Linked DNA regions of Danio rerio. The protein of the gene in region 1 purifies or fractionates together with the protein of each later gene. This does not show direct contact. Links are inferred from orthologs where the notes say so. Each region holds a gene or a part of one and is shown on either strand. Other genes may lie near its edges. The genes, in order: ift27 and ift57.

What was found.
Region 2: the proteins of ift27 (region 1) and ift57 purify together in Homo sapiens (co-immunoprecipitation; 3 studies listed by BioGRID and IntAct, with this or other methods). This does not show direct contact. The link is inferred for Danio rerio from reciprocal best matches to the Homo sapiens genes IFT27 and IFT57.

What each region holds. Positions count from the first base shown.
Region 1 is NC_133181.1:488,353-492,714, forward strand, and holds ift27 (intraflagellar transport protein 27 homolog), read left to right. Parts: upstream 1-1,541; 5' UTR 1,542-1,628; coding exon 1,629-1,662; intron 1,663-1,757; coding exon 1,758-1,837; intron 1,838-2,536; coding exon 2,537-2,596; intron 2,597-2,690; coding exon 2,691-2,750; intron 2,751-2,836; coding exon 2,837-2,954; intron 2,955-3,142; coding exon 3,143-3,252; intron 3,253-3,777; coding exon 3,778-3,876; 3' UTR 3,877-3,966; downstream 3,967-4,362. Other genes in the region: syngr1b (synaptogyrin-1), read right to left, coding at 187-267. UniProt on the Homo sapiens protein: Small GTPase-like component of the intraflagellar transport (IFT) complex B that promotes the exit of the BBSome complex from cilia via its interaction with ARL6. Not involved in entry of the BBSome complex into cilium. Prevents aggregation of GTP-free ARL6.
Region 2 is NC_133177.1:45,211,990-45,216,552, reverse strand, and holds the start of ift57 (intraflagellar transport protein 57 homolog), read right to left. Parts: upstream 2,984-4,563; 5' UTR 2,846-2,983; coding exon 2,709-2,845; intron 1,429-2,708; coding exon 1,254-1,428; intron 1,166-1,253; coding exon 1,047-1,165; intron 1-1,046. UniProt on the Homo sapiens protein: Required for the formation of cilia. Plays an indirect role in sonic hedgehog signaling, cilia being required for all activity of the hedgehog pathway.

The DNA.
Region 1 (4,362 bases):
CTGTTAAGCACACTACACTATGAATACCTCAACTAATCTGATTATTTACAGATTTTCAACTACATTTACCAACACAACTGAATAGAAAACAGTATACTAAAAGATGAGTTATTCTCTGAGCATGTGCAGAACCTCACACACAGAGAGAGAGAGAGAGAGAGAGAGAGATGTTGACCGCTACTGTACCCAGCACAGGATCCGGAGGCCGGTGTGCGGCTGCTGGATGAAAGTGAGAAGCTCAAAGGATCCGATGCTCTGCTGCTGCATCCCGTCAAACACACACACACAGACGCACACACTCACACTCACACAGATGTCTCTCTCTCTCTCTCTCTCTCTCTCTCTCTCTCTCTCTCTCTTCGTGCGTGCATGCTCCGAGATTCAGAATCGAGTCAGTTCAGAGTCGATTCAGTGAGTGAACAAACATCTACATGTTTTTATTTTATTGAATATATAGCTAGTTAATGTACAACAACTTGACACTAGAAAAGTAAAGTTCGTAGACCAACTTCATGGCGGCTTGAGAAAGTTAATCTGAACGTTTGAAGTAGCCTAGTTTAACGGTTTAAAATAAAGAAGTTTAAAAGAGTTGATACAAGTAGGCTGATAAGTGGGTTGCTAAGGTGTGCTTGGGTGTTTAAATGTGGTGTTCTGAGTAGTTGCTAAGCCATTGCTAGGGTGTTCTGAGTGGTTGCTTGGCGGTTGTTAAGGTGTTGCTAGGTTGTTGCTAGTGTGTTCTGAGTGATTACTGAAGTATTGCTAGGCCATTGCTATGGTGTTCTGAGGGGTTACTAAGGTATTGCTAGTTGGTTGCTAGGGTGTTCTGAGTAGCAAGAATCACCCAGGCGTTGCAGTCATTGGTTTGGACTTTGTGGGAAACTGGAGTATATGGCGGAAACCCACGCAAATGCAGGGAGAACATGCAAACTCCACAGAGAAACACTAACTGACCCCGCTGAGGCTTGAACCAGTGACCTTCTTGCTGTGAGGTGACAGCACTACCTACTTCACCACTGCGTCGCCTTTAATGCATATCATAATAATTATTTAACAAAGTAGGCATGCAAAAAATAATGATAAGTGTAAACTATTAAAGATATATACTTATATCAACTCCTAAAATAGCCCAGAATGATGATTATTGTCAGTGAGCAGGCAGGAGCTGATCACACATACAGCACGTCATGTTTGTGTAATTGGATTGAATAAATACAGTGACGCTTGCTCTGCCTGTTCACTCTGCTGAATTAAACAGTGAGAGAGAGAGAGAGATATATATATATATATATATATATGAGCTCGCCCACGGCCTCTTATATAAATGATTAAGGGTGAATGAAGATATAAGCGCGGCCTCTAGCGGTGCATACGTAAAACAACAGTTGCGTCAACGTCAGAGTGACGTACAGCTCTGCGTCAGGCCGTCCAGCCAATCGCATTGCAAGAATCAGTGGCGTAGAGCGGCTCGACCAATAGCAGTGCTTTATTTCAGTTGCTAAGCGACGCTGTAGGTTCGGGTTGCCTTGACGGAGGAATAACGCAGATGCATTAAATCTGTAATAACACACACACGTAGACACACACTATTACCTCCATATTTAATCCAACAGTAATCAATATTCAGCTTCATGGTGAAACTCAGAGCGCGGTGTGTGGTTGTGGGTAAGTGTGTTATGCAGATTATATACGCAATGAACATCACGTGTTATCAAGAGTGCGTGAACTTATTCTGTGTGTGTGTGTGTGTGTGTGTGTAGGAGACGCTGCTGTAGGCAAGAGCACACTGTGTCAGATGTTTTGCAGTGATGGAGCTGTGTATCAGAAGAACTACACTATGGTGAACACAACACACACTCACAGACACACACAACAAAACAACAAGAACACACAGAGTCAGACACACCGAGCTAATGCACAAAACAACACACACACACACACACACACACACACACACACACACACACACACAGAATCAGACACACCAAGCTAGTGCATAAAACAATACACACACAAAACTACAGATACACAACAATACACAACACAGACATACACAAAACAGCACAACACACACACACAAACACACACACACACCAACACAGCAATACACAAAAACACAAAACAACACACAAACAAAAAAACACTCACACACACACACCAACACACAAAACACACACAACAACACGCACACAAAACAACACAAACAAAACAACACAACACACATACATCAATACACAAAAACGCGCACAACAATACACACAAAACAACACACACACATCAATACACACAAAACAACACACACACACACACACATCAATACACAAAAACACACACAAAGCAACACACAAACAACACAACACACACCAACATGTCAATACACAAAACACACACAATGATACACACATAGACGGCACACATAAAACAGACACACACAACAATACACAACATACAGTGGGGTTTAAATAATAGCTTCATCAATTATAAATGGTAACGTAATATATCACGTGTGTGTGTGTGTGTGTGTGTGTGTGTTTTACAGAATGTTGGCGTGGAGTTACTGGAGAAAACAGTCCCTATCCCAGACACCAGTGACTCTGTGGTATGAACACACACACACACACACACACCATACCTGCTTACAGATCAATCAGTTGATTAATAAGCGCACGTGCGTGCGTGTGTGTGTGTGTTAGGAGTTGTTCATCTATGATTCTGCTGGACGGGAGCTGTTTTCAGACGCCTGTGAGAATGTGGTGAGTTTTAAAACACATCAAACACACACACACACACACACATGACCTGCGGTATGTGTCTCATGATGTGTGTGTGTGTGTGTCAGTGGAGTCAGCCGTCAGTTGTGTGTGTGGTGTTTGACGTCACCAGTGAAGCTTCCTTCAACAACTGCAGCCGCTGGATCGACAGAGTCCAAACACACAGTCACGGACTACACACACCAGGTACAGGTCTATCACACACACACACACACACACACACACACACACACACACACACACACACACACACACACACACACACACACAGAGAACACAATATTCCTCATCTTCCAATCTTACAGTGTGTGTGCGCATATGTGTGTTTGAATGTGTATGCGTGCATTCGTGTGTGTGTGTGTGTGTGTGTGCAGGTGTACTGGTGGGCAATAAGTGTGACCTGACCTCCAGGCGTGAGGTGGACGCTGCTGCAGCTCAAGCCTTCGCTCAGACACACACACTGCAGTATCACGAGACGAGTGCGGTGGGTCACACACACACCTTCATCATCATCATCAGCAATGCAGTGTGGCTGACAATGCTGTGTGTGTGTGTTTATGCGTGTGTGTGTATGCATTTTTATGCATGTGTTGGATGTGTGTATGCATGTTTTTGTTTTTGTGTATGTATATGTGTGTGTGTGTGTGTGTGTGTGTGTTGTTATGCTTGTTTTTGTGTGCGTTTAGATGTTTGTGTGTATGAATGTGTTTGCATGTATACGTGTGTGTGTGCTGGTGTGTATGCATGTCTGTATCCATCTGTGTGCGTGTTTGTGTGTATGCATGTGTTTGTTTGTGTGTGTTTGTGTGATATGTGTATGCATGTTTTTGTGTGTATTTGTGTGTGTTTGTGTGTATGCATGTGTTTTCATGTATGTGTGTGTGTGCTGGTGTGTGTGTGTGTGTGTGTGTGTTCGTCTGTTGTTTGTTTTTATTTATGCTTGTTTTGTGTGTGTGTGTGTGTGTGTGTGTGTTTGTGTTTATGCATTTGTCTGTGTGTGTGTGTGCAGAAGGAGATTGGCCACTATGAAGCTCCGTTCCTCAGTCTGGCTGCAGCGTTTCACTCCCTCTATCAGGAGCAGAAGAACAGCATACTGAGCCTCATCTGACACCAGCGCCATCTTCATCATCATCATCATCATCATCTGTGTACATATGAGCATGTCTGTTCTCAATCAAATAAAGCTTTCTATAAATCTAAAAAAATGCCTTCAGTGTGATGATTAAACACACACACACACACACACACACACACGTGCGCACACACACTGCACTTCACATCTTCACACTACTTCATTCTGCCTGATTCAGGAGCATTTGTGCCACAAAGTCTCCCCGAGTGTGAATGCATTCAATATCAAGTCCCCACTGGGATATAAAAGCTTGTACACACTTACACACACAGTTCCTCTGACGGCCAGCAGAGGGTGCTGGTTTAATCTTCATGCTGCATATCTCCATCGTGACGCTGATCTGAGGACAGTCTGATATAGACATGGTTCGTTCAGCTCTAGATAAATGTAGCGTAATCTGGAGACTAATTCAATTCAGGATCATCAACCAACAGAAATAAATCCACGCACTGGTGTTACCCA
Region 2 (4,563 bases), on another chromosome or scaffold:
TGTTTGTATACAGTAAGAACAGACAGTTAGACAAATTCGTGGTTCTAAAAGATTTCTGTGCCCCTAAACCACCATAGAAAATGATCTCAACCTGTTGTAAGCTCATATGTGTGGTTTAAACTTTGTCACTTCATGCAATTTTTTTATTTTTTATTATTATGAGGATGTTTCAAACACAAAGCCTCCAGGAGCCTACATATAAAAGCATTTGTATCCAGAATCAAAAATATAGATTAGATTTGTGTAAAAGCGAATACTATTTAAATAAAATAAAATGTATCAGATGCTTTAGTCAACATAAACTAGTTAAATTTGTATATAGAGCAGATTTGAAGATATCCAAGGAATCATATTAATTTAGCGAAGATGCATTCATGTGGTCAAATGTACATGGCACTATTTGAACAAATCAGATAGCTATGCAGTCAGCAAAAACGCATGAAGTGACCAAGTGTAAACAAGCCCATAGTAGGGGCGGATTTAACCAATAAGCAAGGTAAGTGGCCGCTTAGGGCCCCAATAAATATCTAGAAGTATAGATTATACTTATAAACTATATATAAAACATAATTTCTATCATATTTTGTATAGTGAGATATTTTGTACATAATTAAATATTATTTAATATACAGTAAAATCTTATATTATTTTAATAATGTAATGTTTTGTAATATTAATATTATGAAACAAAATATCCAGCTCCCCTATCATGGAGCAGTCCAGCAGTAAATCTATGATTATATATATATATATATATATATATATATATATATATATATATATATATATATATATATATATATATATATATATATATATATATATATATATATATATATATTTGTTATCGTATGTAAAGGTTGTAAAGATTGCATTAAGATAAACCATAAAAAAAGAAGATTGAGTTACAGAAAATAAATACATTTAAATAAAAAAAAGTAGAAAAGGTGCATCAGGACTTGGGCCCCATGGCTGAAGTTGCCTAGGGTCCCCGATTCGCTAAACCCGCCCCTGCCCATAGTGTGTGCTGTTAAATATATGTGTACCTGTTCCAGGCAAAACCTTTACTCTTTAGTGCCTTTTCTACCAGCTGGTCTAGAACATAACAGACATGCTCTCCAGACCCAGTCTTCAGCTTAGATGGGGGGAAATCAACCTGGCCTCCCTACAAATCACATACAGATGATAATCATAAACCTAAATGCATACACCCATACACATTTGTGAGGGTGTAATCAGTGTTATCGCCTCACCAGGGTTCGAAGTTCAGACAGGATGTTGGAGACTGTGGCGTTGGGGTCGTCATACTCCTGTGGTGTGTCGAACGGTCGCCCGCATAATGTAATCAACCAGGCAGCAATTACACTGAACATATAGAACTGCTCACCGGGATTTGACAACACATGAGGGCTGGAGACAAAATAATGTCTGAAAAATACAGAGTATTAAGGCAAAAGTTGAAATGAAAAATCAGTCATTATTTCCAGTGCTCAGCATGTATAAGTACACCCCTCACAAATCTATCTTTTAAATTTATATTTTGAATAGGAAGCTATACAGTATTATATTTGTGCATATACATTAGATTAGTCAGTACTGAAGCCAAATCTAGAACTTATGTAACTAAATAAAACTAGTACAACCAAATGTATATGTTATAGAAAAATATTAAATACAATTTTTAAAAAGCAAAAACAAGAAAAAGAAAATAAAATTTAGTTGAAATTTTGTAATATTTTGCTTGAATTTAATTGTATTATCTTTCAGTTTATAAATATGTTTGGTGAGCAAAATATTATTTATATAAATATATCTGTTTAATAAATCTGCTTTGTTTAAATGCACCAAAACACATTGCCTATATTCACTGAAGATATATACATTTTCAAAATGTGGTGTACTCACTGAGCACTGTACTCACTCTGATGTTCTTATTTACTTTTTCTGATGTCTACGTTATAACACGCAGTCTCTTTGATATCAACTTCTTCAAACATTGTTCAAAAGTATATTATCCTGACATGTTAGAGACCTTAGTTCCTCTTCAGAATACAACATAAGATATTTTAGATTAAATCTGAGAGCTCTCTCATCTTCCATAGACAGCAATGGTTCTGAGTCATCCAGAAAAATAACAAAAAACATCCTTAAAACAGAAATACGCCTCCAGTGGTTCAATCAGAATTTTATCAATCTGCGAGAGATGCTTTTGTGTGTACAACAAATAAAAATAGCAACGGCTATTTCTGTTCTTATTCTACTATTAAACTTATATTAATTTAAAGGTCTTAAACGTGTGAACACAAAAGAAGATATTATAAAAAATGTTGGAAAGCAACAGCCACTGACTGATAATATTTTTGTCAATATAGTTTCCATCATTCTAGTAAATGTTGACAGAATTTTCATTTTATGATAATATATGATAAGTGGATTTTACTATAAACTGACGGCTAAAAAGTAACTCTATCTACTTTGCAACGTTCATTTTCTTACAGGTTCCATATTATAAAAGTGAATGGGGACCAGAAACTAACTTTACTCGTTTACCAATGTTGTCCAAAATGTTATCTTATATGTCCAACCGAAGAAAAAAACTCATCCAGGTTTGTAAAACCCGATACTAAATTCATGATGAGAGATTTCACTTTAACTGTAATGCTATTTACATCAAATACTTTCTAATCCACATTCCGAGTCTCTCTTACCTGGACAGAGGTTTGATGTTGTGTTTGTCCAGAACGTGCTGCTCATAATCGAGAACCTTCAGTTTATCCAGCAGATCCTCCATCAACACGAACATCTGATAGACAGAGCCCGGACCGCGCTCTTCCTCCTCCGCCATCCCTCTCTCTTTCTCTTTTCACATTTAACAATCTTTACTCGCAAAGGGAAATTAGTTTAAAGCTTTTATTAACACTGCAGGTACGAATACAGACAGATATATACACGGCTATTCTGCAGCAGCGGATTCGGGATGTTGTAGTTACTGTCGTCAGGAATGACGTCACACACAGCGACGGCCATGACAGCAAACAAAGTAAAAGTATCTACTGAATAGTCACAGATAATAAACAGAAAGCTATAAATAATCAATAATCAATGACTATGCATAATTATTGAATAGAAAAAAAGCAGCGAGCCGAAATCTGATTTTGGCTAAGAGTTTTATAATGTTACCGTGTGTAGTCTGACAGTGCTGCCACACGCTGGAGCGGAGAAGAAACGACTCCATATCTAACGTTACTCCAATCGAAAAGATATGTTGCTTTTCTTGCTGGTTCTTTGAAACTGACTCTTTATTAATAACATAATTAATAATAAATGCGTGTGTGTTAACAATAAGAATGGAAAACAAATAATTATTATCATCACCACACTTTCAAAGTACAAACCATGGTTGATTTCTAGTTGCCAGAACTGTTATGTTTAGTCACAGTAAATTACCTCTGTTTATTGTTTTATGTATAGTAAAACCATTGTAAGGGCATAAAATACGTTATGTTACAAAAACCAGAGAGTAATTATTTTGGTTTTTACAAGTTTAAACGGTGATTTTTAAGTATTTTGGTTTTCAACACAACTCAATGTCTGACACATGAAAGTCATTTATAGTCAATGTTATGGTTTAAGGTTATCTGTGCTGATCTAATTATGTTTATTTTTTTTCTTTATGCTATAAATGTGGTTACTTATTATTATATGAAAAATCTTCAGTCTTTTGAGTCTTTTAAGTCGGTTGTGCTCACTAGACAATGAATGATAACTGCTTTGAAAAAGTCAAGGCAGAATTTTCTGCAATACTGTTCCTTCGGTATATGGAGGATTGTTTTATTCAATTTTTATTATTATTATTTTTTTTAAGACAACAGTATCTTTAGCAGAATAGATATCCAAACATGCTGTTCGAAATCGTAAATAAATCAGTGTTTTTGAAACTAATGAAGACAAGAGAAGTCCATTCATTTCATTTATTTAGCCTGACATGTTTACAGTCCCACAATATTTTAAATTGTTCTCAAAATAAAAAATATATTGTATTGAAAGGGGGAAATTTTTTTTTTTTTACTAAGACATTTAAAAAGAATATATTTTAGAGCAGTAATCACAATATTTTTATCCAAGGTTATCATATCAACATAATCTTATACCGGCCCATGCCTAGTGCTCACCAAAGTTGTATTATTTACAGCAAATAAGTAATATTAAAATATTACAATTCATAATACTTTTTCAGGATTCTTTGATGGACTTGAATTTACAAAAGTACTGCATTTACTATAAGGATATTTTATGTCACAATAATAAACCCTTTATTGTCACTTTTTGATTAATGCTCTTGCTCAATATTAAGATAAAACCTAAAAAACCTTTTGAACACTGTTTTATAATTTTACACATTTTCTCCCATATTTATTTTCTGAATGAGAAAAGCTGTTTGAATGATGAATTGTATTTAACACATTATTGTATTCTGTTGTCCCTAGATAAACTGTGCAGCAGTGTGTTCCTCGTGTTAGGTCTCTATGTGTTGGGCAGAGCCGCTCAGCTGTTGAGATTAAT